Mytilus edulis: one gene and its partners. The protein of the gene in region 4 purifies or fractionates together with the protein of the main gene of each other region. This does not show direct contact. Links are inferred from orthologs where the notes say so. Each region holds a gene or a part of one and is shown on either strand. Other genes may lie near its edges.

Region 1 (7,565 bases), on a different chromosome or scaffold from region 4:
TGACAACACTATTACTTCAACCAGAAAAGCAAAAACTGATGCCAAGGAGAAAATCAAAAGTTGGATTCAACCGTTCCGTAAAGCATAGAGACTGTTTAAGTGTTAAAAGTTAAAGTTTTATTTCATTTGAGAGACAATAGTTATTTCATTTTAAAGTTTTTTCTTTATTTATTGCTTAAATTTTCATTCGCGGCCCCCCAGGATGTTCAGGACTGTGTTCATTAGACGTTCGCGGTACCGCTATGTATGTATAGTAACGTCATGCTACTTATGACGTTGAGATTTATGTGCAAATGGAGTTTAGAATCAATACAAGTAAAACCAGCTAGTATTTCTTATTTGTGCCTAAAAAGTCTGATTATACCACTCTAAGATAACCACTATATATTGCTTAACATCTTCTAATTTTTTTTCTGATCTATCCTTTTTATGGATAGCAGGCCATAATCTAGCCAGCAAAATGGTGATTTTAGTCGCCAAAGAATTTTGAGAATTGTTAAATCTTGCCGATTGACTGATATCATAGCATCTGATTCTCATTTCTGTCTTTAAAAATTCCAGGTTATTTCGGTAAAACAATTGTTGCAGTATAAGATAATAAAAGAAAGCCCCCATAAGTATGACCACCTAGACAATCATCAGTTAGGATCACTATTTATATAAGGGATAAACCCTTTATTGATGTAATATCATTTATCAAATAGTAAAAATTGGATGTTATAAATAATATTCTGGTGCATTACATGAAAGATTTTTCAATTAAAGAATGCATTTGTACATGTAACATTGTATTTTCAAATTTCTAAAATGATTCCTCAAGGTAATGACAATGAATTACCAAGAAATCTTCAAATAATTAATTTATTTTGGGATCATACAAGATCATGTCACCTTGTTATATTGATTTATAATTTTGCTGCATGTGAATCATAATGATAAACTGCTAATTATCAACAGGTAAAGTAAAGTGCTTGCTTTAAATGATGACATGCATATTAGATACTATTTTGGTTATTTTCATAATTACTTACATGTACCTGTCGTTTCAGGGTTATCTTTAGAATTTTTTTAAGGGTTTTATAGAGTAATAGGGAAGTTTTAAATTCATGTACCGGTATGTGTTTATCCAGGACTTCTATCTTTTGTATCGATACAGACAGATGAATAACACCCTTGAAGTAATCAATTAGATGAAAATATAGGGTTAAGTGTTGTTTTTACAAATAACACATGTATATTTTGCTTCAGAAGTAATTGTCTTTGATGGTATGGATGGAAGCAGGACAAATCGCCCATCTTGCTAATCGCCCCACATCAAATCGCCCCACACCAAATCTCCCCATTGTTTACAAACTCGCCCCACTTTTAAAAAAATCAACCCAAACTGATTTACAAACTGGTCCCACTTGTGAAAAGGGTTAAATCCCGTTAATTGCCCCACTTAATGCAAAAAGATAAAACCTAGATTTTCATTGACTTAATTCATAAGGACTTTTCTATTTTTCATAAGTGGGGCAAACTGACAAGCCTCTATTTATCAGGATTTGTATTTTTCCCAAGTGAAAATTGGCATTCACGTCACAGAAATACTGATACTCTCTTCTTTCTGATTTATTTCAACAAAAAGAAAAGAACTAGAACATAGATATAAGAAGATGTGGTACATGTATGAGTGCCAATGAGACAACACTCAATCCAAGTCACAATTTGTAAAAGAAAAACCATAAAAGGGGAAAGTACAGTCTTCAACACAGAGCATTGGCTCAAACCGAACAGTAAGCTATAAAGGGCCCCAAAATGACTTGTGCAAAACCATTTAAACAGGAAAAACATGACGTTTATCTATAAGACTTTTTGATATGGGATGAGCTCTGACGTCCCACGGCCCCAGCTTGTCTGGCAAAACAGGCGTTGGACGTCAGAGTAATCTCGACTATAGACAATTAAAATATTAGCTATAAAAGTACAAGTGACATATACTTCAACGTGTTCCCGAAGTCACGGTGTCAATAATGGGATACAGTTCAAAATTTGATTACCAGATTGATTATTCAGTGGTCTCATGGTCAGTGAGGGCAGTCGGGGTCAATACAAAGACCACGACAATCCTCACTGAACAAAGGGACCATGACTCAAACTGGTCTCTTGGTATCTGTGGGAATTTCATATATAATATTTTGTTTCTTTTATTAACCCCAATGTAGGTGACAGAAGTATGCGACAGTCTTTTTTTCTGGCGCATACATATTTTTGGCAATTTTTCATTAAATAATTGACACCGGGCTATCGGGAAGCAGTATATAATCTCTATCTTCAGCGATGGACATTAAGATTCATTTATACACTTGTGTATATTTATTAGCAACTACTACCTTATATATCAAAGCAATCAACTATGTAATTAGCAATGCAACGAAACAAAAGCAAGAACGACAAAATAAACATTTTTTTACAAAAGTAAAACCACAATACATTAAAGACTTTGAAAAAAAACCTCACAACTTAAGAACTCACGTGTAGTAAACAAAACACGAAACACTAAGACTTTTTTTTTCTTTTTTCTCCAAAAAACAATCACGATAAGTGTAAATAGGGCGCAAGTTCCATATCAGGAAAGTCGCCTCCCAAAATATCAATATAATAATAAATTTCAACGTGTTGAAGGTGGTCATTACAATGTATAAGTAGAAGAATACTAATTAAAAACAAATAGCAAGTGGCAAACAGAAAGATAATTTGTTCCTCGTCTAAAAAAAATGTTTTAAATAAATTATGTGTAGTGAAAAATCCTCAAAATCGCAGGGGACGAAGACGTATGTTCATTCATTGTATTCCAACTCTTTTCTACACTTTTAAATTAAAAGCCTTCCTTTTCTGTAAAGGAAAGCAAAACATGCTATTTTCATACTTTCTTTTTGATTTGGCTCGAAATCTTAATCGGTGTACAAATGTTCTTACATTTCTAATGCAAATCGCGTTACTTTAAACGCATAAGTGACCATAGAACAAGGGAGACCATTCATTGACAAAATGTCATGCCATAGAAATGCAAAATTCTTGGCAAGAACCGTTTTTGTTCACAAAAATAACGTAGAACAAGCCCACAATGCATTGATGAGGTATTATATTATAATTACTTACATGGTCTTTTTTTTTAAAGATTGACAATCATAAATCGTAGTACGTCCTTGAGAAATGTATCTTCGGGTATGATTCCAGGTATTTTCAAATGGGTCCCTTTTCTATCAAAATTGGGAATTTTCACCCAAATTGGGAAATTATTTCCGTATAAAATTTATGATAAAATAACATTATTTTCCTTTTAAAACAGAAAATGTTTCAAGTTTTACCTGTTTCATAATCATGATGGTAATGACCCAATGGATAAACTATTTACAATACACCTTATCGCTATTTTTCCGCCATTGCTGGATATCACACAGGTTCCCGTAAAATTTTGACATCATAAAACAAATATCTGACGCCACAATGGAAAAGTGATTGTTGTATGCGTCAAAAGTTCAAGCGGCCGGGTCAGCCGGGATTAGCGATAAGGTATATACATGGTACATGTAGTAAATTACAAACATTATATGTGAATAAAACATTAAAGGTATAATGAAAATCTATTGCAATAGATAATTACTAGTAAGAAAGAGGAAGATAGTTAATTAAGTGCCGTATATTAGTGATATATTATAAAGTATAAGATTTATTTTATTTTTATCGCACAATGTGGTTATATTTTTTCCTGTAATTTTGAACATTTTTAATACAAAAGTCTCTCTAATACTGGAGTAACCTCTGCAGTGTAGCAGCATGTGCTGTTCATGATCTATCATTAAATTTATTAACCTTGCAGCTTGCCTCTAATTTATTGATAGTAAAAGCTAAAAAAGCTCTATTCAAAATACAGAAATCTCTAAGTCTTAACAATTCATGTAGAATTTTAGAAAAACTTTTTGATACAATGGTACTCCCAATTTTATTACATGAATATCATGTATATGGAAGTGAAGTTTGGGATATTGAATCAAATTTTAAAAATACTGAGAATCAACCATATGAAAAGTTACAAAATGTACATATAAAATTTATGAACATGAACATAAGGTGTCTTATACAATATATCATGGTCCAAATAGGCACCTAGGTATAACCAGATGCTCTACAGGGCGTAGCTTTATACGACAGCAGAGGTCGAAACCCTGAACAGTTGGGGCAAGTATGGACACAACATTCAAGCTTGATACAGTTCTGAATTTGGATTGTGATTAAATAGTTGATACAACATAGGTTTCTGACACAGAATGAATGTGGTCTAAGAGAAACTTAAAAACTTAAATTTTTTAAATTGGACATTTACCTATTATGGTCCAATATCCAAAATCTGAAAACATGGTTAGATTCAGCATATCAAAGAACCCCAAGAATTCAATTTTGGACCCTTTAGACCTCAATGTGTACCAATTTGATAAACTGGCCCAAATATTAAACATCTAAATACATGGTTAGATTCAGCTTATTGAAGAACCCCATATATTCAATTTTTGTTGAAATCAAACAAGATTAATTTTGGACCCCGATTTGGAACAACTTGAAAACTGGGCCCATAATAAAAAAAATCTATGTACATGTTTAGATTCAGCATATCAAAGAATCCCAACAATTCAATTTTTGTGAAAAATCTAAATAAGTTTTATTTTGGACCCTTTGGACCTTAATGTAGACCAATTTGAAAACGGGACCAAAAAATAAGAATCTAAATACATGGTTAGATTTGGCATATATCAAAGAACCCCAATAATTTTTGATGAAATCAAACACAAAGTTAATTTTGGACCCTTTTGGCCCCTAATTCCTAAACTGTTGGGACCAAAACTACCAAAATCAATTCCAACCTTTTGTGGTCATAAACCTTGTGTTTAAATTTCATAGATTTCTATTTACTTATACTAAAGTTATTGTTCAAAAAACAAGAAAATGCTTATTTGGGCCCCTAATTTCTAAACTGTTGGGACCAAAACTCCCAAAATCAATCCCAATCTTCCTTTTGTGGTCATAAACCTTGTGTTTAAATTTCATAGATTTCTATTTACTTATACTAAAGTTATAGTGCGAAAACCAAATGTCTTCAGACGACGACGCCAAAGTCATACCAATATATGACCAAAATTTTTTTTAATTTTTGCGGTCGTATAAAAATGTTGCGGATAATATGATCAGAGTGACATATCAAACATCTGCCCTTCAATAACTTCAAATTAGCACAAAACCAGGAATATTAGTTTCAAAGAAAAACAACCAGAAACTTAGAACAGCCACACGAATATATTTGGGATTTAGCACTATTTTTATTTAGATAAGATGATTCCTTTTACTTTATAGTTTTGATCACTGGAAAGTTTATCTGTACACAACAGAAGTTTAAATAATTAATGTTAAAGAAAATGCGTCATTCTGAAAGTATAATGTTCTTTCAAGTACTCTATAAAAATTTAATCCCAAAATAAAAAAAAGTAGAACTCTATTTTCTAAGATTTGAATTTGAATTTCAAGCAAGAATTCATTATTATGTTTGGATCACATATACATGGTATCAGACAGTGATGGACTGATGGTATGATCAATTAAAGTTACTAACAGGCTATTATCTATGTATACCAGAATGGTGCCATCCAAGCAGGGTAATGCTCATTGTTGAATGCTGTACTGTTACCGTTAGTTGTTAATTTCTGTATCATTTTGTCTCTTGTGCAGAGTTGTCTCATTGGCAATCATACCACATTTTCTTCTTTTTTATATAAACAAATACCAAACCTTGACAAATGTATTATGTGAGTATATAAACCTGTTAATAACTTAGACTAGTTATGTAAGTGCAAATTACTTGAATAAATATTCTATAATTTCAATTTTAAACTAGTCTCTGTAATAAAAATTTAAACACTTTTTTTTCCAGATTTATGAGAAATGATGGAATTGTTGACCAAGTTAGGAGAAAGAAATATTATGAAAAACCAACCACAATGAGGAGACGTATTAGTTATGAAAGATGCAAGAGGATATACAATGCTGACATGCAAAGAAAAATAGAATTTGTGATGAAAGTCAACAGAGAAAGTCCATGGATAGGATGATGAATATTAAAATACATTATGTGTATTCTGCTCCTCATAAGTGACATACTTCCAAAACATTTTTTCAGATGGAATGTAAATTATATAGAAAATAAACAGTTGTGACAAATAAAGTTCATCATTTGCATAATATTTAAAAAAAAAATCCCCCCCTCCTCCAACAGTCTGTACTGAGAGATTTATTATACAAAGATTGGATTGGTTGATGGAAATCAGCTTGTCTGTCTGTTTGTTTGTCCAGACCAACTTCTATGACCTTTGATTCACTTCTAACTTTTTAGAATAATTTATTATGATATGCAAAAACAATGTATCAACAGGTAAAAGATTGTCAATTCTGTTTAGTTTCCCTAGAATTATGCCCCTTTTCAGACAGAAAATTGGCATAGCAACTCCTGCATGGTTTATTATGTCTACATGAAAACTAATTATTTGTTAGATCTTTATATCATGTATATAGAGATGTGCATGTGGGTAGTATTTTCCTATCCATTGAGGTTTTTAGGAGTTATGGCCCTTTCAACTTTTTCCCCTGACATTACGATTGCAACACCACCAACAGGTATATGTATAATAATATCTACACATAACTTGTTATATTGTTAAATCTTTATATACTTATGATGGTAGGATGCTCTGTCTATTTAGTTTTTCTAGAGATGTCTCTTTGCAATGACAATATTTTGACCCAGTCCATTACCTATAAACTCAACAACTTTTCCATCATGGTTTATAATATCTACATGGAAATGGATACATTATTAGATCTTAATGTGTAGATGTGCATGTGGTTAAGATCTCATTCTCTTCCCTACAATGATGGTTCTTATATCTATATGAAACTTTGTATATGGTTAGATCTGGACATACAATATGGATGTATGTAGGATATGAGTGCATCTACGACATCAAATTAAACTCTGCTAAAAAGTCTAAGTTAATATTACTAAGATCTTTGATTTAGAGTATTTCAGTTACTAGCATATTACAATTTGATTCAGGGATAGGGTATGGTAGTAGACCAGCTAAATGGACAGTAAAAGTTATGTTTTGTTCACGAGCAGCTGAGCCGTAGTCATCCCTATTCCATTCTGTAAGTGAGGTTTTCTCATCACTTGGCATCTGTCGTCGTCTGTTAATTTTTTTCTTGCCTGTGACTGGGATACATAGATTGCCTGTGACTGGGAGACATAGATTGCCTGTGACTGGGAGACATAGATTGCCTGTGACTGGGAGACATAGATTGCCTGTGACTGGGAGACATAGATTGCCTGTGACTGGGAGACATAGATTGCCTGTGACTGGGAGACATAGAGACTACAATTTACAATCTTACGATGGCAGCATTAACCAATTGTATTTAGCTTTATATTTTAGAAGGTTGAAGACCTGGAGGTGTCATACTTTGTATACAGATGACTTATA
Region 2 (7,898 bases), on a different chromosome or scaffold from region 4:
ATATATACAACGCCATTTAGTATATATATAATGTAAAGACAACAGGGGATCCTGAAGACCGTCCAGGGGATCCTGTAGAACGCCCTTTAGTATATACTTGATTAACAAACAATAGGGGATCCTATAGAACGTCTTATAGTAGATAAATAACGTTGAGAAAACAGGTGATCCTTTAGAACGCCTTATATTATAATATGAAAAACAATCAACAGGGGGTCTTATAGAACATCCTATAGTACATATATTATTTTGAAAAACAGAGATTCCTGCAGACCACCCATAGTTTCCTGCAGACCGCCCAAGGGATCATATAGAAAACCCTATAGTATAAACATGAAAACAATCAACAGGGGGTCTTACGAACGTCCTATAGTATATATATAATGTAAAGACAACAGGTATCCCGTAGACTGCCCAAGGGATCCTGTAGAACGCCCTTTAGTATATACATGATTAACAAACAATAGGGGATCCTAAATAACGTCCTATGATATATATATAATGTTGAGAAAACAGGGGCTCCTGCAGACCGCCCAAGGGATCATAAACGCCCTATAATATATACGTAATAAACAAAGAACAGGGAACCTATTAAATTTCCTATCTCAGATGCATATTTTTTTTAACAAAAGGGGATTCTGTAGGCCGCCCAGGGGATCCGGTATAACGCCCTTAGTATATAAATAATAAACAAACAATATAGGGGATCCTATAGAACGTCCTATAGTAGATATAAAATGTAAAGACAACAGGGGATCCTGTAGACCGCCCAGGGGATCCTGTAGAACGTCCTATAGTAGATATATAATGTAAAGACAACAGGGGATCCTGTAGAACGCCCTATAGTATAAACATGAAAAACAATCAACAGGGGGTCTTATAGAACGTCCTTTAGTAGATATATAATGTTCAGACAACAAGGGATCCTGAAGACCGCCCAAAGGATCCTGTAAAACATCCTTTAGTATATATTTGATTAACAAACAATAGAGTATCCTATAGAACGTTCTATAGTTTATATATAATGTTCATACAACAGGGGATCCTATAGACTGCCCAGGTGATCCTGTAGAACGTCCTTTGGTATATACATGATAAACAAACAATATGGGAGATCCTAAAGAACGTTCTATAGTAAAAATATAAGGTTCAGACAACAGGGGATCATGTAGACCGCCCAGAAGATCCTGTAGAACGCCCTAATAGAACATGTAGCTTCATTATAAACAATTAACAGGGGAAACGAAGACCAGCACCCCACCCCACCACCACTACCACCACCCCCTCACACCCCGTAAAGGAAATGTCTCATGTCTAAGAACGTGTAAGCTACATGTTTTTTTTCAATTTGCCTACATCAAAGTACTCTATTAAGCAGATAATAAAAATATTATTAACTCCATAGTATATTCAAAGCCATGGGATCACGTGCATGGGACATTTGCAAGTCTTTACAACATAATTAAGGCACCACTACTGTGTGTCATATATATGTGAAATATCATATATATCTTAAAAGGAATATGTATTTGCTTAATGAGGGCACAATGATATATGCTACTGTAATGCGGAACATTTTCCTATTTAAGACACCATTTCACGTTGAACGTGAAATAATTTCTGTCATGAACGTTGCACAAAAAATAAAGACTTGAAGGTGAACCTTTTGTGACTGAGTCACTGTCCTCTTGTATATATGAACTCTCTGTTTTACTTAACATTCCCTATTTAGTGTGTACACATTTATGATATAAATGATTTACAGCTTTTAAAAAAGTATATAAAGATATTCTGAACTTTTAAAATGCAAATAAAGGAACATCATTGGCCTTGCCGCCTTATCATTTCACGGAAACAAAATTAAATCAATTTGTAGAGAGCCGTGGTGTTTTGGTTAGTGCATCGGACTAATAACACTTAAGGTTCCTGGTTCGATTCCCGTTTGGGATGAAATTTTTCAGGAACTCAATTTTCGGCTCTCCCTCGACACCATTTGCGAGTATGGTCTTGAGGAAACGATGATAGTCCGTCGGAAGGGGACGATAAATGGCTGACCCGTGTTAAGAGAGAGCCATATCTCTTGCACGTTAAAGACACCCTTGTAGATTTCGAAAAAGAGTAGGCTTATGCTTACGCTACAAGGCAGAACTCACAGCCGCAAAGTGGAAAGGGACTAATATAAGTTGCAAAACTTGTTTCCCAATCCACTATAAATAAATATGTTTAAACATAAATCAATTTCGTTCCTGACCATGTTGACGATCCCTGTCTGGTGTTTGATTTTTTTTTTTTTTTTTTGAAAAATACTGAGCACGCAAAATAAGCATTTGAATCACGAAGCACGTATAAAAATTACATAAGAAGAACAAGTTGAACACCTAGCTGTTTTGCACGACTGAACGTGTAATAAAAAAGTAAAAACACGTTGAACGTGAAATAAAAAAACGCGATCACGTTCCACGAAAATAACCCTTTACCACTCTCCATGAAAGTTAATGATTTTGCATCGTTTTTTTTTGAAGATAGTTTTACATGTTAAGAAAATTCTATTTTTAGCATTAGTATTTACCGAATCGTTTTAAAATAGCCTATAAATAGAATATGCATAATTCACGAATCGTGACGTAGGGCGGTCTACGGGATCCCTTCTTCCGCTTACCAACCAAAACCTTAAACTAAAACCAGTTTTTCTGTAACAAATACGCCTTAAAATAAAAAAATAAAAATCAGGACGAACAGGTATCAGGGCGAACGGTCTCAGGGCGAAACGGAACTAGGGCGAACAGTAACTAGGGCGAACCGAAATCAGGGCGGACGGACCCGGATTCATAAATAACAATGGGAAGATGGCCATAATTTTCACCAAACCCATTTTTGCAATAAAGCCTATACTTAGGGTGTGCATTAATCGTACCATAATGAAAATTGCCGACATCTGGGTCGTAAAAATATGCAATATTTGGGTTTGACATTTTGCATTCTTCTTTTTCTACATATCATTTATTTATCTTCTTTACCAAAGAGGTTAGCATTTGATTTGACTCATTACCGAAGAGTAACGTCGTAACATAGACAACCACGTACAAGAATTATTTGACATGAGGCTAATTTTACGGAGGGTTTGTAGAGTTAAGTAACTTAAGACTATGTAAAAAGGATTTTTATAAGTAGACTATTTAATTTTACCAATGAGCAGGTAGATAAAAAAAAATCGATATAATTATTTTGGAAAAAAACATTACGGTATTTACGACAGCCAAGGATTTGTACATATCTAACTATACAAATCCTTGCGACAGCTAAGCATATATATATTAACCTACATGAGCTAAGCAACATTTTCACTATATTGCTGTTTCCGGTAAAATAGCACTTGAAATTCTATAGAAATAGGCTATTTTAAATTGTCGGCTTGCATTAAGACATTTTAATCAGAGCCGGCAAAATAGCCACTGCCTTAAAAAAGGCCATGTCATTAAAACAGATTATGCATGTTTCAGTAGAATAGCTGACAGACGGCTGCGAACTGAGTTAAGTTGACTATACGGATAGACACTGGTGGTCAATATTTTGTCTAATTTCAATGGTTGTGAGTTAGAAACGACCATTTAACTATAAAAAAAAGAAGTTTTTCTGATCCCCTCTGATTTGATGAAACAAAATATTGTTGTCAAGCAGATGACAAAGAAAAATATTCTGAATTCAGATTTTCTCCACACCATAGAGTGGAAAATAAAAAAAAAATATGTGTAGTGTCGAGAAACTAAAACAAATATTTCTGACTCAGATAAAAATAATAGTATCTGACCCCCCTCCCCACACTTTTGAAGTTAAATGTTTGTTCAACTTATGAATTATCTTTTATCTATTGGTTTGTCTAAGTGGTAAAAATACGGCATTGTATAAAAAGAAAGGAAAATGTTGAATTAAAAAATAAAGATGTCTCTTTTTAAATACCATTGCATGATTTCAATATAAAGCTAACATAAAAACTTAAAATAGAATTACTATTCTCTTTTGATTCTTTATCATTTTAACTTTATCTACTGAGGCAAGTTTTCCTGTGACCTTTTTCATGCTACGTTTTTTGGGGATTTTTTCTGTGAATTTTCATAAACTAGATATGCATGATCTCTTTCTTATATGGTCATGCTATTACGACGGAATCGGGACCGTCAATAAAGCATTACAAAAAGCCTCAAAGAGTAAGGAAGTGTGTTGAATATAATGATTGTATAAATTGATACCCACAAGGTGACAGATAATGCGTGTTTTAGATTGAAACTAGTTGATTCTAAATTTTGTCAAATATTGTGACTGATGCACGACTTCTTTGTTGTAGAGTTGGTCGGCTTGGTTTTATCAAGTATAACACGAACTGCACTTTGGTAGCTGTATTGATTAAAAGTATAAAGTTCTCAACCATTTTGATGTTTTTCATTTGTTGCTTCTGCAAGAGACCCCAGACAATATAATTTTGCCACCACCCTTCATTCTCTTTTATCCGATAGCCAATGTTACAAAATTGTCTATTTGGATATTGAAGAGTTTACATGATTTGTTTTTAAAAAATCAACAATTCACGTAATGTTTTAAAATAAAATAGTATTCAACATGTCACTTTTGAAGACAATTTATTACAAGATTTTGAGTTTTTGAATTTTAATATTAGTTTAATTTTGTATCCATGGACATCTATGACCTGGGTGATAATATATTGGTGGTATAAAAGTCCCAGCTTTAGCCAAAATAGATTAGTTTGTCCTGAAACAAAAATATAGATTTAATGACGTTTTATTAACACTGATTCCATTAGAATTTGGATGTGCACTGATTGATATTTTGGTCTTAGAACCATAGAACTCTTTTTGTCAGAAAACACTGTCAACCATCCAAACACAATCCACACTGATCTGTGCCCACACTTGTTTAGTCTTCGAAATATGTATGTTATTGGATGTTATCTTAATATCCAAGAAAAAAAGAACAAAAGAACATATTCAAACACAAAACGTTTTACATAGATCTACACTGTCGATACCACTACTAGTGGACAATAATTTCCAGTCAAGGTTTCGGCATTAGTCATGTTAGTTAGTCATTTTGTTTATCCTTTTATTGGTTTAACTTAATTTGTACTTCTTCGAGAATGTGACTCATACTAGAACGACATGAAGTTTTAATATATGTACTATCAACTACACATTTAATATATGTACTATCAACTACACACAATTATTTTGTTGGCGTCTTTGTCAGATTTAATACTATCAGTTATATCAACTTTTTTTGTTGGCGTCTCATTTTAGATTTTTTTTATGTTTGTTTAATTAATTGTTGTCAGTTGTGTTGTTTGCCTGTGGTGAATGTTTATACAGTGTTGATTTATTGTTGTCAGTTGTGTTGTTTGTCTGTGGTGAATGTTTACACAGTGTTGATTTATTGTTGTCAGTTGTGTTGTTTATCTGTGGTGAATGTTTACACAGTGTTGATTTATTGTTGTCAGTAGTGTTGTTTGTCTGTGGTGAATGTTTACACAGTGATGATTTATTGATGACAGTAGTGTTGTTTGTCTGTGGTGAATGTTTACACAGTGATGATTTATTGATGACAGTTGTGTTGTTTGTCTGTGGTGAATGTTTACACAGTGTTTATTTATTGTTGTCAGTTGTGTTGTTTGTCTGTGGTGAATGTTTACACAGTGTTGATTTATTGTTTTTAGTTGTGTTGTTTGTCTGTGGTGAATGTTTACACAGTGTTGATTTATTGTTTTTAGTTGTGTTGTTTGTCTGTGGTGAACGTTTACACAGTGTTGATTTATTGTTGTCAGTTGTGTTGTTTGTCTGTGGTGAATGTTTACACAGTGTTGATTTATTGTTGTCAGTTGTGCTATTTGTCTGTGGTGAATGTTTACGCAGTGTTTGATGCTGGATCCCAATTATTGTCATGTTAACCAATTATGTCTGTTTTAGTTACTCATAAAAAAAGAAGATGTGGTATGATTGCCAATGAAACAACTGTCCACAAGAGACCAAACTGACACGTAAATATAACCGAACTATTAACAACTGTAATACGAGTTGCCAGCCAAGAGGTTGGTTTATCTAGCTATAAAACCAGATTTTACCCACTGTTTGTTAACGAAAATCAGAAATAAAATAGTTGTTTTCCAAATCGTTCCAATGGTGATAAATACTAACGTTTGATGTCGTCAGGTTTTATGGGCTTCACCATTTTTAATTTAATTGGAGTTCGGTAATTTTTTACTAATATGTTTTTGACGATACATTTTTGGGTTGAATTCTCGAGTGGGTCGTGACGTATTAGCCCGATTTATTGAATTCTGGGAAAAAATAAAATCTGTTTAACTCTTATAGCTTATCGACAATATACGTAATTAAAAGCGCACAGCTGACGAATGGTCGAAGTTATTAACCACAATATAAGAATGAACGAACATGAATATGCATATACCGTTTTGTATTGATTGAATTAAACTCCTATAAAATTATCTCTAGTAAATGTTTTTGAATAAATTTAATTAATTATTGTTGAGATTTTTTTCATAAAATATTTATTGAACATTTTTACTGATATTGAACTGAAAATATTTCAGTTCTATTTACCGTTATTGTTTTGATAATCATTTCAATGCAACTAATGTGTGAGCAGAGTGTTTATATTATTTTGTATAGGTCACTGTATATTCTCGGCTTGAGGTCAATTCGTTTACCTTGTAGCTATTTAGCCGCAGGTGTGAGTTCAAGCGTACACAGGTATAAATGTTGTTATTTGGAAAGGATATACAGAAAGGATTAGAAAGAGTATGATGTCACGATGTTAATACAATAATGAAACTAATTGTTGTTTATTGTTATTTCATTTCCTTAGTCAAGAATTCATCATAGAGACAATTTGGACCAATGAGATCTGCACCTTCTAAATCAAAACATTTGATTAAAGTTGGGAGTTAATTATCTAAAATTCAATTGAATTTAACAACTACTACAATATATTTTAGAATTTTAATTATGTACAACTGAACGGCAGGCTAAGACCATTCTCAATTTTTTGTGACAGTATTCTCAAGAAAGTGAGGACTGAAAAATCTATTCAGTTTTAATTATTCATTGATTAAGTTCCCAGTTACAACTCTCATCACAGGGATCATGTACTTATAAAATCAAATATGATTGATATAAGCTGTGTGAAGTTTGTTTCCAGATCCCACATTTTGATATATCTGTAAAATTCATGAATAGATAGCTTTTAAACTACATAAAGCAATATTTAAAAAAATTTAAAAAAAAAATGACCACTACAATAATTATGTTGGTTTTTTTTAATTGATGACTTATCATATATATACTTAATGTGACATTTTTAGTGTTCATGTACATTAAAGGGAAATTCCGCGATTTTTTACTTATCATCTAATTATGTTCATCTTAACATAAAAAACACATTTGCAAAGTTTTAAATTTATATTCCTTCTAATAACGGAGAAAATCAAGTATTTGTAACTTTTTTTGTTGAATTCTCGAGTGGGTCGTGACGTATTAGCCCGATTTATTGAATTCTGGGAAAAAATAAAATCTGTTTAACTCTTATAGCTTATCGACAATATACGTAATTAAAAGCGCACAGCTGACGAATGGTCGTAGTTATTAACCACAATATAATAATGAACGAAAATGAATATGCATATACCGTTTTGTATTCATTGAATTAAACTCCTATAAAATTATATGTCTCTGTCTCTAGTGAATGTTTTTGAATAAATTTAATTAATTATTGTTGAGATTTTATTCATAAAATATTTATTGAACATTTTTACTATTTACTTGTCTATTTACCGTTATTGTTTTGATAATCATTACAATGCAACTAATGTGTGA
Region 3 (7,199 bases), on a different chromosome or scaffold from region 4:
GAAACCTGTTTAATCCGACACACTGGGTGACCTGAACAAAATATCAGATTAAGCAGGGTGTCAGAATACTCACTGACAGGTATTTATCTGCAAGGATAGACATATTTTGGGACCATGAAAATGCACCGGTTATAGCAGGTTGTTGGAATACTCAGGTGTCAGATTAGGCAGGTTACGCTATGTTTTAAATTATGAATGAGAAAGAAGTCCATCAATAAACCTTAATGTGTTGTCTGATGTCAGAAAAGCAATATGGCTGTCCGTCTCACTCCCAGGGTGCCACAATACTGTTAGCAGACGTACTCCATTATGGCCAGCAAAATAATGCTCAGCAACATTCAAAGATCTGCAAATAAACAAGTTTTAATATAATATATATATATAATACACAAATATTTTAAATATGTGTAAGGAAAAACAATAGCAAGTCACTAAAGTCTATTGGTTTTTATTCAAATTTCAATTTGCTATGACAAGGCCAGCTTTGTTATATCATTGCATGATTATTGGTCAGTTTTGAAGCTGGCAACCAGATTTCAGGAGGCTCTGATTTGTAATTCATGAATAAATTTCATGCTAATCATATGTTAGAGTATATAAGTATTTAGTAAAAAGGAAGTTTATAAATGTAAAAAAATGTAAGAACCTTGATAATAAGAATAACGCTTACGAAAGCTTGATTGCGAAAACTGCAAATAAATGTAAATTATGTTATGAGAAGGACAGATGGAGGTTTACAAGTATACCCCTCCTTCAAAATAGGGGTATTACAAACTCTGTTACTGTTGTTATAAACCACTGGTGTTTCTCTTTTGACCTACTTGCACTGAACACACTGCTTTCCACCTTCATAATCATTGTATTTTCCCCATCTCCGTGGCAACTCTATCACAGTAATACCAGTCTGACCCCATACTGCTAGATAATTCCCAGTTCTGTTGAAAATCAAACATTCCACATCAAACCTTGGTGCATCAGTACATAACAGTGTCTGTAAATAGAATTCAACAAATCATTTTTAGTTCATTTAGATGTACATAGGTCAAGTAGACAAGAGTGTCTAAAAGCCTTTAATCTTTTAAATTTAAAAAGTAAATTTACACTAGCCAGGGCCATTAAAAAATAAGAATGTGTCCCCAGTACACGAATGCCCCACTCGCACTATCATTTTCTATGTTCAGTGGACCGTGAATTTGGGGTAAACCCTCTAATTTGGCATTAAAATTAAAAAGGTTATATCATAGGGAACATGTATACTAAGTTTGAAGTCCATTGGACTTCAACTTCATCAAACTACCTTGACCAAAAACCTTAACCTGAAGCGAGATAGACGGACGGACGGACGAACGGTAGGATGAACGAATGCACAGACCAGAAAACATAATGCCCTTCTACTATCGTAGGTGGGGCATAAAAAAGAATATGTTTGTTTGCTCTTAACCTGCCTACCAAGAAAACAGCTGCCTACTCAAAATCATTATTGTCCTGTTTTGAAGAAGTTTTTTTCTAATCAGATAGGCATGTCACAGGACTAAACAAACATCTGACATTTCAATTTCCCTTTCCCAAAAAGAAAAGAAAAAGGAAAGGCTTACCTGCATCATGTACTTGTACCTTTCTACTGTCTCTACCAAAATATGTTTAAGCATGGCACAGGGATTGAAAATAGCACTATCACAATAACCTTTTTTACCACCATGCTTTGAATTTTAAAATCATGTTATTCCAGTCCAAACCCAATGAGGCCAATAACTTAAGTAAATAGAACTCTATCCATACATCCATACATTCAGAGCAATTTTAGAATAAAAATATTGGACCAGATTGGCTTGGGGATATTGGGTTTGAATTGACCCGAGTTTTCTTGACTTGAATTTACTTGGGTTTGAAAAACTTTATTTCTTCAATATGAGATGCAAGAAAGCAAACCATATAGGCAATAAGTCTCATCCCATATTTATTTCAGTAATTCTTTGACATTAGCATGAACATATAAAATTTCTATGTCATTCAAACCCAGGACTCGGTCTTGCTTTCTGTTGCAGAAAGAAAGACCTTAAAATACCTTTAGGGATGTGAGTTCCAAATCTTAGAGGCTGTTTATCTAATTAGTAGCAAGTAAGTACAGGCATCATTTGCAATGAAATTTATACAACACATAGAGTGAGACTTTAATAAAATATTGAATCTGAATCTACAACAGATGCTGACCAATAATGCAATTAAATGGCCAGAATGTGTGAAGAAAAGTGGATGACCTTCTGCTGTTGTCTGTTCTATGGTCGGGTTGTTGCGTCTTTAACATTCCCCATTTCCATTCTCATTTTTATAACAAAGTATAAATAAGTTGATTCCAAGAACTGGCAAGCCGTCTAGAGATCTTGATCTTCCACCATTACAATTATTAAGTATTACATGTATGAGAAATTACATATGAGGAAGACAAAAGTACCAGGAAACAATTTGTATTGTGTGAAAGTGAATGATGAAAAATATAAATGATGTTTTGTATAACTTACTTATTATATTCATCCCAAGTATAAAAACACAGAAGCCAATCAGTTGTCTTCTTTATTGTATAGAAGTTTATAAACAAAAAAATCTACTTTCGTTTTCTACTTTCATTTTCATAAAAGGACAACAAATAATAACATATGCCAAATTAAAACAAGTAAACATCCCAATATCCCTTGTTTTTAAGTGACAACTCATTTATTCACGGTTTGCATGCACGATAACTGTCAGATAGATGCATTTTATACCTGAAATCTTTCTTGTTTTTCCTTATCTTCCAAAAGCAACTGCTTCAGATTAAAATAGACAATGTGACATGCGTACGAGTCCCATACATATAAATCGCTGTCATATACAACAAATAAACTTTTAGCTAAATTTCTAAGTTTTTGTTTTGAGTCTTTAGAATTGTTTTCTGCAAGATTTTTGACAAATTTCTGGTTATTTAAACATGTGCGCCAACTGTCAACACCCGCCATTTTCCCTGTGTAAAGCCTCGGAACAGAAGAAAATATCGGTTTCATTTCTACAAAGAAATGCTATCAACGATAATAAACTACCTTTTTATGATCATAAATATGTATTTGTTAAAAATAGTTTAATCATGAATGTTGACAACTTTTGTTTCTAGAAATTAAAATGTAAACAGTTTTGAGATTATTTTCGATTCTAAGTGGGTCATGTGATCAATTGATTGGGCTTAATCCCGTTCAAGATGGCTGCGAGCTTGCAGTCAATGGTACAATATTGGAAAGAGTTTGATTTACAGGAACTACAGGTATGTCCATCTTCATTAACATTATTTATCATATCTTAAGGTGACGGAGGTTTCATGTATTATTCAAACCCCAATCAAAAATAATGCAGTAACAAAATGTCAGCTGTTTTCCAATTTCCCAATATCATCAATAAAATGTGTATTATCTAAAAAATCAATATGGCTGACTGATTAGTGTATTTCTTTGTGTCAGTACCGAAACAGCAGCTGATAATAAAGTTTTAAATGACAAGTTTATTATAAATTCCAAAGTTTTAAACAGTGTAACAAACTCTTTACGCTTCAGTGAAAGTTTGAAAAGTTTTATGACTTAGTCTTCTCAGCATCCACAACTGATACATGTGTATTGGAAGTCATTAGCTTGTGTATTACAAATTTGGTAACCAGATTAGTCCCAGTATTGTTTAATGTCACCTGTGATAACTTCATTAAAATAAACAGTTATATTCATTGTCATGTTTTGATCATTTCCAATACACCACTAAGACAGATATTAGGTGAGTATAAATTATCTTTCAGAAGACTTTTATCATTCATATCATGATTGGGCATAGTGTACCATTAACAGGACAATAAAGATTTATGTTTGGTAAATTTATAAATACCTTATATTTCTATTTTTTTGATAAACAAACATTTTTATTTATATATAGAGAGAAATAAAAGGAGTTGCATGTGCATGATATATATGTAAAAGTTTTGCTTTGTTTTCTATGAATGAAAAGACAAATACATGTACAATCTTTGGAGTTAATCAGTGCTGCAACAAATAAATAGAAATTAATAGATATGTATTTTATTCTCTAAAAAAACAATTAGCAAAGGTACAGAGAAGAATACATAATAATTAAACATACAAGGATTAAGTTGATACATGGAGTAAATTTATACAAAACAAAACAAAAACAATAACACAAAAATAGTTTTGGGTTTCATTTGTCTAATGCATAGATGCCAACCATTACGATTTTTCCGTAGTTTTTCCGATTTTGCGATAAAAACTACGCTATTACGGTCAAAGTCGAATAGTTATGGATTCCCAATCATCGACGTTCAATTTTGTAAAACGCGGATTTTTATCATTACTTTTCCGTCCTGGTCCAGTATTTAGGAAACGCCAATGTAATGCTTCCGGTTTCTTGGGAGTTATCAACCTATTGTTGGGTAACTAACTGACTTCCGAAGAGGCAAACTTGCATTTTATTAAGTAGCTTTCCCGCTTTCTCTACTTCTCCTTGACAAAACAAAAATGTTTGAGTCGAGAACATCTGAACAATTAATGAATGGAATACATACTACAGACAACATGTTAAATGACAAATTTTAGTGTACATTACTTTGCAACCACTCGTCAGTAATTTTTATTGGTAAATGCACGTTTATGAATGATTACTGAAAACTTTTCAAAAATACGGAAAATTTGATAGTTTGTTACTGATTGTGTCAAAAGGGGGTTGGCATCTATGCTAATGTATAAGATAAAAGTTCTAAGGAGCTATGAATTGTCATTGCACAGTATAAAAATCACTTATAACTCACAAAGTTATTTCCTGTTAAAAAGTATAATAGATGGATCCAGGAGAGGACTTTAATGTTTAACCAAATGTGTTATAAGTACACTTTTCTCATTGTATTTATATTTTCATTGGGCCCCTTATTGTAAGTTCAGGATCATCTACTGCAACTCTAACAGAAAATTAATAAAGATCAACATCCTTTTTATGTACCCTTGGCCTTGTTTTCCCAACTTAAAAATATTGAAACTGTTTTATTGCTTTTTTTCAGTTTTCTATCTAATTATATTATTTTTTGGAAATCTATTGTTAACACCCCTGTGCAACCCTTTCTCAAGATACCCCCCCCCCCCCCAACACACCAAAAAAAAAACTTTAATCCAATATACATTTTATACTTTTTGAGTTGTTCTTTTCATAAATTAATTGTTTTCTTTGATTATGGATTTGAAAAGAAAAAAAATATGCTTGTAAGTGCATTTGCAAATACATGAAATATATAATAAGGTTTTGAAAAATTGTTTATATTAAAAAGTAATTAAAAATACTTTAGGCATTTATTATTGAGTTATCTCCCATGTTTACATTTTTTTTAAAATCAAATGTATGTGCATCCAGTTTGAATAATGATGAGATGTAAGGGGGAAAATATTTTGTCTGGTGGTTACTCCTTCATGAACACTGACCCACATACTTCTTTTCTTTTGTCATTTATATGATATAATTGTTACAAAGTTGTAAGTAAATCATCTTACAATTTGTATTTGTACTGTACAATGTTTTAAAAATGAGAAAATCAAAGAAAAACAATACATAAATCATAGTGAAATTTTCAGATTCATGGCTTTAAATTTCAATCAAATTTCATATCATAGTGGTGGATTTAGCCATGCACTAACAGGCCCGTAGCCAGGAATTTCCAAAGGGGCCTAAAAAACTCGACTTTAACAGTCACAACTCGAACAGAACGTTGACTTTAACAGTCATTATTTGAACCCCCTGAACTCCCCTGGTTACTGGTATGCACTAATCTATCTTTTTAAGGAAAACCACAGGCCATTATTTTGAAAATTAATATTTTGATTTAGTTACATAGATTTATATGTTTTTTGTTACAATAGATTGATTAGGCTAAATCTGAATAAAATTGTTAAACTCTTATGACTTTATATTATTATATATATTATAAGGTCTTTATAGGAATAAAAAGAGTTGGGTATATACATCTATGAGACTATGTTACACCAATGAAATAGAAATACATTTTGTTTGTGTTTTGAAATAATTCAAATAAAAGACTCTGAATTGAATTTAAAAGACAGTGATACAACTGACCATGCCAGGGCTTTTTAGCCAGTCAAGGTCGTTCAAAACCCCCATCATCATCGAACATGTCGAAAGTAACCACACAACACAATACAACATGATAAGAGTGTCTTGTTTGTATTTCAAAGCTTTACACATAGAGTGCATAGGAGACACTTTCTAAAGACATCAACCACCAATAGTGTAACACATTTAATTTAATAAGTCTGACAAAATTCAAAAAGAAAATGCAACCACCTATATTCAATTAAAGTGCCCCTCATCCTTCACCAAAAGTTTTTGGAACAGCTGATAGATGAAAGGTATGATCGAAAATAGAAATCAGATTTAAAATAAAACAGGATAAATGATCAAGTATAATTGTACATGTAGGTAATCCCAGCGGAGACAAAGAAGTTTATAATATCTCATTTCTTGTCTTAAAATCAATGATCATTGCTTTTATAACAATGTAAATATTGATCAGTTGTAAAAATACTCCTAATACTGAACAACATGATTTAGTGAAGATTCCTAAATTAAGTTATACCAAATTGATTGAAATACAATCATTGATTTTTTACGTTCAGCGACAAATAATAAAACAAGCTAAAATTTTCTGCCGATGGATTGATCAAGCACAACCTAGATATTGATTTTTATAAATATTCTCTATCTGGAGGGAAATTTATTCTGTTTTTAATCAGATTTACTAAGTGGATAAAATTTATTGTAATTCTCAGGTTATTTGACTATTTGTTGTACATCAAGGGATGAAGAAATTACATACTTGTATATTTATCTCACGGCCTCGAAATTATCAATTACTTCAAATCTCGTAAATTTCATAATTGTTTCGCTAATGAAATAGGATAAGTATATAATATTTTTTGGTATAATTCTTATTAGATTTCCCTAAATCATATTCACATTGCAGCAATGTATATTCTATTTTGAGGTTCTTTAAATACTTAAGGGAATGAGTGACATATATTTTTGAATGATTATTTTACATGTTCTACCAGTTCTTAAAGCTAGTCAAGGTTTAGATTTGTTTTGATAATTTATTTAGTTGACTTTATTGGGTA
Region 4 (7,212 bases):
TTCAAAGTGTAAACAGTGTTCAGTTTATATGGATTAATTTTTCCAGTGGAATAAAAGAACACTTGTTCCTATATCACTGTTGTACATATTTTATCTATCCTAGGTACCAGGGCAAAAACAACAAAAAGCACTTTCATTATTCTGTAAAACTTAGGCTTCAGAGCAAACAAACTTAGATTTCCAAGGGGCATCACTCAGTAAAAACATTTGATCCGAAATGTATTTACAAATACATTTCTGATTTAAACTTTGAAATTTCTGGCAAGAATTGAACAAACACATTAGAGTGATAACATTTATATTTTCTACAGAATAAACATTTTTAGGGGCATAAATTGCTAATTTGAACCCAAGATATAAGTTTCATAAAAAGTTGGCATGAATGGTACATGTGAGAGCGCTAACAAAACATGACATCCAGAGAGTAATTCCACTTTGGCCTTGCATGTATTATGTGATGTTTAAATATGGCCAAGTTCTTGTCTGCGTAGCCACTCCTGTAGTTCACATAAGCAGAAAATTTATGTTTTTATAAAAACTCAGCAGAAATTCAGCCTGTGGCAGTCATCATTCTTTTAATGAATCAGCCTGTGAGCGTGAAGCAGAAAACAATAGGAACAATTCATTCTAAGGATGATTAAGTTTATTAGGATTATATCTAATTTCTCTAATTTAATAAAGTAGTAAGTCGTTGATCATCTAAAAGTAAACCCTCATCGAAGATAGCAGGTAAAGGAGAGCTGGCCCAGCACGTCTGTTCAGCTGTAATGACTGAGACGTGACTGTTGATGATGAATGGATTATCCCAAGAGGGATTGAAAGAAAAAGCTATGAAAAACCCTGTACTTACGTGGGTCATTTTCAAAAAATGATGAATTTTGAAATTGAAAAATTTATTAATACATTGTACATTGAAGTTATTTTTAAAAACAACCCACTACATAAGCAAATCAAAACAAACAGTACTTTAAGAACAACATATTAAAAGATGCAATCTTAATGTCAAACAAGAATATCTTGAAACATTTGTGATCGGTGGTACAATATTTTGTCTATCCTGTTACAATTTTCAAAAGAAATTTTAGGTTATTAAGAAAAGGTTTAGATAAAATGTTAAGCTTGTTTTATGTAGCCAATTAGATGGTTTTCAAGAGAATAAACTTCTATATATATATATTCATTCTGTAACAGGGGGGGATGCAGGAATTTTCGAAAGGGGGGGGGGGGGGGGGGGTGCTAACCCAGGGCACCCAGGGCAAAGGGGGGGTGCAAAACATATGTCCCGATACAAATGCATTGATCGGCAAAACTAAAGGGGGGGTGTGCACCCCCGGAACCCCCCCCCCTGGATCAGCCACTGCTGTAAAATAATAGATTATTTGCCAATTTTCCAGGTTGTACTGAAAAATACCTCTAAAAATTGGTTTTCAAAGGTTGTAAAAATTACCACCAGTAATGCAAGTCTAAGATAGCAATTTATATTGTTCAGCATTTTTTCACTCTTTTAAATAAACCCAACATCAGGTAAATTCCTCATAAGTAAGTTTACTTTTCTCTTTATTTCATTGGTAACAGGAACGTACGTTTCTGATATATCACTATATAAAGGTCTATCCTGTTAACCATATAAATATTGCACCTGCAAATGCTTAATTGGGAAGATAAAGACGTCTTTATAAACTTAAGATGAGTTCAAACAACGAAATATTTCTTTTGTTTTGCACCTATATCATGTATATGTTAAGATAAAAAAATAACGACGTTTTGTCTATCCTGTTACTGTAACCATAGCAACCACAGTAACAGGATAGACAAATTTCTTCGTTTTTGATTGCTGTTGTGAAATGACTACTCCCTTTAGTGAAGTGATTATGGTTTTCTATTGTGAATTTGGTTACCAACACATTATTGCACTTTTTAAAAGCATACTTTTGGTGTAGTTAATCAAAATTGTTGGTAACAGCATAGACATGAAAAAAAGTTCTCTTTTTTTTTCACTAAATGTCTTGAAATATCTTTTCTCTACACTGTCGTTCACGAAACGAGGCTATTTAAATGTAAAGATTACTTTGCACTTTTGAAATCAACACCGACTGATTCAATATTCATAGGGAGAATAATTTATTGACTGATTTAAGTAGCGGTAACAGGATAGACATGAACCTCCTGTATGCTGATTGAATTTAGTTTGTGGATAATATGTTACATACAATGATAAAGAAGCTACTATTTTTTCGTTAGAGTGATAATTAACGTTCTTTAAAAGTTCCTTTTGCAATTATCAAGGCGATCAGAAAATCAGAAATAAATCATTTAAAATGTGGTTTTCCGACACTGTACGCACACAAATACCCCCAAAATCGGACTTAAATGCAGTTTAATCTTATCAAAATAGATGTAAGGTGTGTTTATTATTAATGATCTGAATCACAAACCCGTCAAGCTTTCATTAGAGCCATTTCAACCGAAATTTCCATTAGAAATAAAAAAAATTAGCATGGGTGTACTGAAAATTCGACATTTTTTGAAAATGACCCATGTCCATAGGCATAAATAGAAAACTTTTTGGATGAAGAAAAACTATGCTAATAAGAAAACAATTTGAATAATATCATTTCTTTATTTTCAGAAATTAACTTTTAATCACGAAAATTATCATTTAACTTAATTTTATGAGCATAATGATAGTGGAATTTTCCACCACACTGCCGCTGAACAGTTTGAATTTTACGTCCCGAATCACATGACTAAGCAGGCTTCCGTTTGTTTTTGTTTGTATCTTCAAATATGGCTGCCTCCATGAGAGAAATTTCAAACGTGTTTAACGAAACTATGACAATGTTCAGAACATGACAATGAAACAACGAAATACAAAAACTTCCCCTAAAAACCAATTTTACCTCTTCTAATTCTTCTTCTGGCCAAACCCAACTTCTTGTGAGAAAGCATCAAAAATTGACTAACCGGTTGAAACTGGCAAAGAACCGCCATTCAGATTGGTTCTCGGTAAAATCCGTAATTTAAGTTTAGACAAATATTTCGATAAAAATAACGAAATAATAGTAAACTGGCAATTATTCAATAGTATATAAGAAATAATTATGACTAAATAAATTTTTAGTTGCAAAGTAAAAACTTCATTAACTCATTAATTAACGTAAACACATATTTTGTTAGCAACTTTTTGATTGGTTTGTACTCTCGCAGGGATAAAATACATTTTACTTTTAATTAAGAAATAACACATTTTTGAAAGTCGATAGATATATATTTAAAACATTTAGACAGTTGATAACTATAAAAGAAATTTCTTGTTCCCACTTTTGGGCAAAATACGGTGATATTTTCAAATGGAAAATTTTTATCATTTATCCAATCAAATATAGTTTCCCAAACGCAATATTTGACCTACTTTTACTTTCGATTTCAAAAATCGGTCACTCAATCAAAATGCAAGTAATAGCTTTTGTAAAAAGCTAGACTGACGATTGCTGTCTCAGTTCTTTTATCTAAGCCAAGTTTCGATCATATTTGAGACAGATTTGTAAATTCTAGTAAGACTTATAATGGACAATCAAGTACTACAAATTTGTTGAAATATAAAAAAATAAATGAGATTATTACTGACTTTTAACTTGATAATATCATAGACTTCATCACGGTATTAAAGATATAATTGTTTTAAAACAGTGTCAAAAAGTAGAATGTACAGTATAACAGTAGCGTTTTTTTTTCTATCCGAGCAACTACTTTTGAATCAGAATTAACAGACGACTGTCATTCTGAAATGTACTCTTTTTCTAAATATTTGTCTTGCTTTTTTCCGACGTAGTCGGTATAGTTTCGGTGTGTGTCCTTTGAACTTAAGGACGCTTAACTGTGGCAACAGAATACGCATGCTCGAAAATCCTTTTTGTGATTGGACAAAATGCTGTCATGGTGGGTGATTTGGTTGTTTTTGAAAAAACGTCTCGTTAATTATATCGTGATGGAAAGCAAGTGAAAAACTGTAAATATTTGAACTAGATCTTACAAAGATTTATATTTTTATTAAAATAATTGTTTCTCAAATAGCTCTTTCCATCCGTGACAGCTGTTTATTCGGGACAATTATATAATTTTTAATGTAAACTTTGTTGTACGAACGTACCGGCATGACTTTTAGAACGCACCTACGCATGTGAGATTTCCGCGGGGTTTTGGTGAACATGGTGAATGTAAACAGAAAGATACGATGACTGAGAATACTAAACACAAACAGAGAAAACGTTATTTAAATGGTATCTTTGTGCTTCTGAGGGTTATCAAAATGATAGTTTTAAACATATACTCAAATTTAAATACGTCGGATATCTTTTTTTAAAGATAGTTCTTGTTAGTAAATATTCTTACCAATTTTCACTTCAATGATTTAATGTGTTCTTGCTTTCCGATATTAAGATAACACAAGTTTAATTTGATGCCCTTCTATTCTGATGGCAGGTCTGTGGGTCGCAGAAAATGTCCCAACACGTTTAGAGCAGCACTCTGATCTGAGGCGACACCCCTTTTCCCAACTGGGAAGCTCTGATGATGAAGCACTTATTTGTGTTGTGAAGTTTTCTGTTTCTCAACAGTTCCTGTGTTCTGTCTCATTTTCTTTAGAATTGTATATAATAGACGAACGGACAGACACATTGGCGGATCCAGGGGGAGGGTTCCGGGGGTTGGAACCCCCCTTTTTTTTGACGATCAATGCATTTGAATAGGCACATATAGTTGGAACCCGGGACCCTTTGTCCCTGGTTGGGAACCCCGCCCCTGAGACATACAAACGGACGAGTTGAATGCAATTTACCCAAGATCACTATAAGGTTTAATAATAACATTTTGTAATGATTATTGACTGTCGTTTCGAACCGTGACATAGCATTCCTTAACTCAGGACGTTAGAACACTTTTGTTTCTGTATAATATTGGCCAGATTTTTTCATGTCTGTTTCTGTGATTAAATTTTTTAAATCTATCCTTAATTACGAGGCTTAGCTCTGAAACTCGAATTGGGTAGAGATTATAAATTGCAGTATCACAGTTTTTTTTTTATAAATCTAGTAAAAGGGGAAAGCGTCCACAGTTTACCATGTGTCTAAATGAATAAATGTTTCAAGTTGTTGTTTCTCATCATGTCTTCTTTTGAAAATTCTCCGATATAAAGATAATTTGAAAGACATTTTACTATTACCTTGAACTTGCACCTTTTGTTGAATCTAATGCATTACTTCAGGTATAGTTCGGGTTACCTTTAGATTGCTGTCATTATACTTTGCACTTTTTGTTGAATTTGATGTATTTCTTAAGGTATAGTTCGGGTTACTTTTGGATTGATGTCATGAATGTCATTACACTTTGCACTTTTTGTTAAATCTGATGTATTTCTTAAGGTATAGTACGGGTTACTTTTGGATTGCTGTCATTTTACTTTGATCCCATCATATACCGGAAGTTAAACAGATCAGTCCCAGTGCATCACTTTTCTTTAATAGTCTTTCTTGAAAAGAGGAATACAATTTGTCATGATAAAATTATCTAACTGACAGTAAAATACGGGGTCAGGGTGAAATGACCCCGCTTTTAATCTCTCTCGCACTCAATTGTTTCTATCGTCAATTGTATCTACGCTGCTGCCGAACTTCAATGACTTTTGTTTTAAAAGTTGTTTATGAATTTTCATAGATGGAATTCTTCCTGCTGCAAGTTTTATGTTTATCAGACTCGTGATTGTTTTCATCTTTGATCAACATAATTCCACATGCGCTAAGTTGGTGCTTCAGTGGAATTGAAGAAATCATACTTTTAATTTAGATTTTCTTTAATATTTCGAAAAGAAGAAGCCGAGTGGAAACGTGGAAACACAAATAAACCATTTATAGTGACTGTAACATTCCGATATATGAGAACAATAACACACGTGAAAATAAATCATATTACTAGTATTAAAAAATAGTAATTAAAGCAAACGGTTGCAATATGACACTATATGTATAACAGAAAAGACATCATATAAAGTTGTATAAGTTCTTCATCCTTGCTCCAGGTGGTCGAGTGCTCTAGCGCGTCGGGCACAGTGCACGGCGATTTGGTGCCACGATAGAATGAGTTCGAATCCCGGCGAGGGAAGAAAAACAAATTTGCGAAAGCAAATTAAAAGATCTAACATTGCTGGGTTGGTGTTTCGACGAATTATATATGCAAAATGTATTTTCAGCCTTGTATCACCATCACAGCTGGTGATCCGATGGATAAATCTGTTGTAGAGTTGCCACTGGTTCAGACGTACTTGTAATATACTTATTTCTATGACTGCATCCTGCATTATTTTGTAAGATCCTTTACGATAATTCAGCTGATCTGTAAAGATTCCATCTTCATGCCTTATTTATCATGTACTGTGTTACGATGCTAGATAAAAACTGACGAGGAATGGTAACGCCCGGCCACCGAAAGCTTTATTATTCATGGTAGAGCATAGTTGGTCGAGTGGTCTAGAGCGTCGGGCACAGTGCAAGGCGATTTGTTGCCAAGATATCTCAGTAGTATAAGTTTGAATCCTGGCGAGGCAAGAACAAAAATTTAGCGAAAGCATATTACAGATTTATCATTGTTGGACTGATGTTTAGACGATTTATCTATACAGAATGTATTTTCAGCCTTGTATCACCATCACTGCTGGTGATCAGTTGTATAAAATCTTCCGCAGAGTTGTCACTAGTTTAGACGTACTTATAATATAATTATTTTTGTGACTGCATCCTGCATTAGTTTGTAAGATTCTTCAGGATAGATCATTCAGCTGATCTGCAAAAATTCCATCTTCATGCCTTATATATGATTATCATGTACTGTGTTATGACGCCAGATAAAAACAGACGAGGAAAGGAAACATCTGGCCACCGAAAACTTTATTATTTTAGAGCCTAGGTGGTCGAGTGCACTGTGGTCCAGTGCGTCAGGCATAGTGCAAGGCGATTTGGTGCCACGATATCTTCGTAGCATGAGTTGGAATTCCGGCGAGGAAAAACAAGTTGCGAAAGAAAATTTACAGCTCTTTACATTGTTGGCCTGATGTTTGAACGAATTATATTTTCTTTAATGGTCTTCCTTGAAAGTCTGTATAAATCCAGCTTGTAGTATAAATCAAACTGGAAATACAATCATTCCATATACCAAATACGC

The links.
Region 1: the proteins of exportin-1-like (region 4) and nuclear pore glycoprotein p62-like purify together in Homo sapiens (affinity purification with western blotting; 4 studies listed by BioGRID and IntAct, with this or other methods). This does not show direct contact. The link is inferred for Mytilus edulis from reciprocal best matches to the Homo sapiens genes XPO1 and NUP62.
Region 2: the proteins of exportin-1-like (region 4) and histone deacetylase 3-like purify together in Homo sapiens (affinity purification with western blotting; 3 studies listed by BioGRID, with this or other methods). This does not show direct contact. The link is inferred for Mytilus edulis from reciprocal best matches to the Homo sapiens genes XPO1 and HDAC3.
Region 3: the proteins of exportin-1-like (region 4) and nucleoporin 88-like purify together in Homo sapiens (affinity purification with mass spectrometry; 3 studies listed by BioGRID and IntAct, with this or other methods). This does not show direct contact. The link is inferred for Mytilus edulis from reciprocal best matches to the Homo sapiens genes XPO1 and NUP88.

Annotation. Positions count from the first base shown.
Region 1 is NC_092344.1:96,295,701-96,303,265, reverse strand, and holds the start of nuclear pore glycoprotein p62-like, read right to left. Parts: upstream 3,008-7,565; 5' UTR 2,909-3,007; exon of another isoform or gene 2,515-2,908; intron 89-2,514; coding exon of another isoform or gene 1-88. Other genes in the region: uncharacterized protein, read left to right, coding at 1-88; small ribosomal subunit protein bS21m-like, read left to right, coding at 3,031-3,119, 5,963-6,140. UniProt on the Homo sapiens protein: Essential component of the nuclear pore complex. The N-terminal is probably involved in nucleocytoplasmic transport.
Region 2 is NC_092344.1:34,970,757-34,978,654, reverse strand, and holds the start of histone deacetylase 3-like, read right to left. Parts: upstream 3,023-7,898; 5' UTR 2,973-3,022; coding exon 2,915-2,972; intron 1-2,914. UniProt on the Homo sapiens protein: Histone deacetylase that catalyzes the deacetylation of lysine residues on the N-terminal part of the core histones (H2A, H2B, H3 and H4), and some other non-histone substrates.
Region 3 is NC_092349.1:12,622,295-12,629,493, forward strand, and holds the start of nucleoporin 88-like, read right to left. Parts: upstream 3,013-7,199; 5' UTR 2,994-3,012; coding exon 2,763-2,993; intron 992-2,762; coding exon 822-991; intron 347-821; coding exon 221-346; intron 1-220. Other genes in the region: homeobox protein cut-like 1, read left to right, coding at 3,230-3,292. UniProt on the Homo sapiens protein: Component of nuclear pore complex.
Region 4 is NC_092346.1:57,078,432-57,085,643, forward strand, and holds the start of exportin-1-like, read right to left. Parts: upstream 3,009-7,212; 5' UTR 2,901-3,008; intron 1-2,900. UniProt on the Homo sapiens protein: Mediates the nuclear export of cellular proteins (cargos) bearing a leucine-rich nuclear export signal (NES) and of RNAs.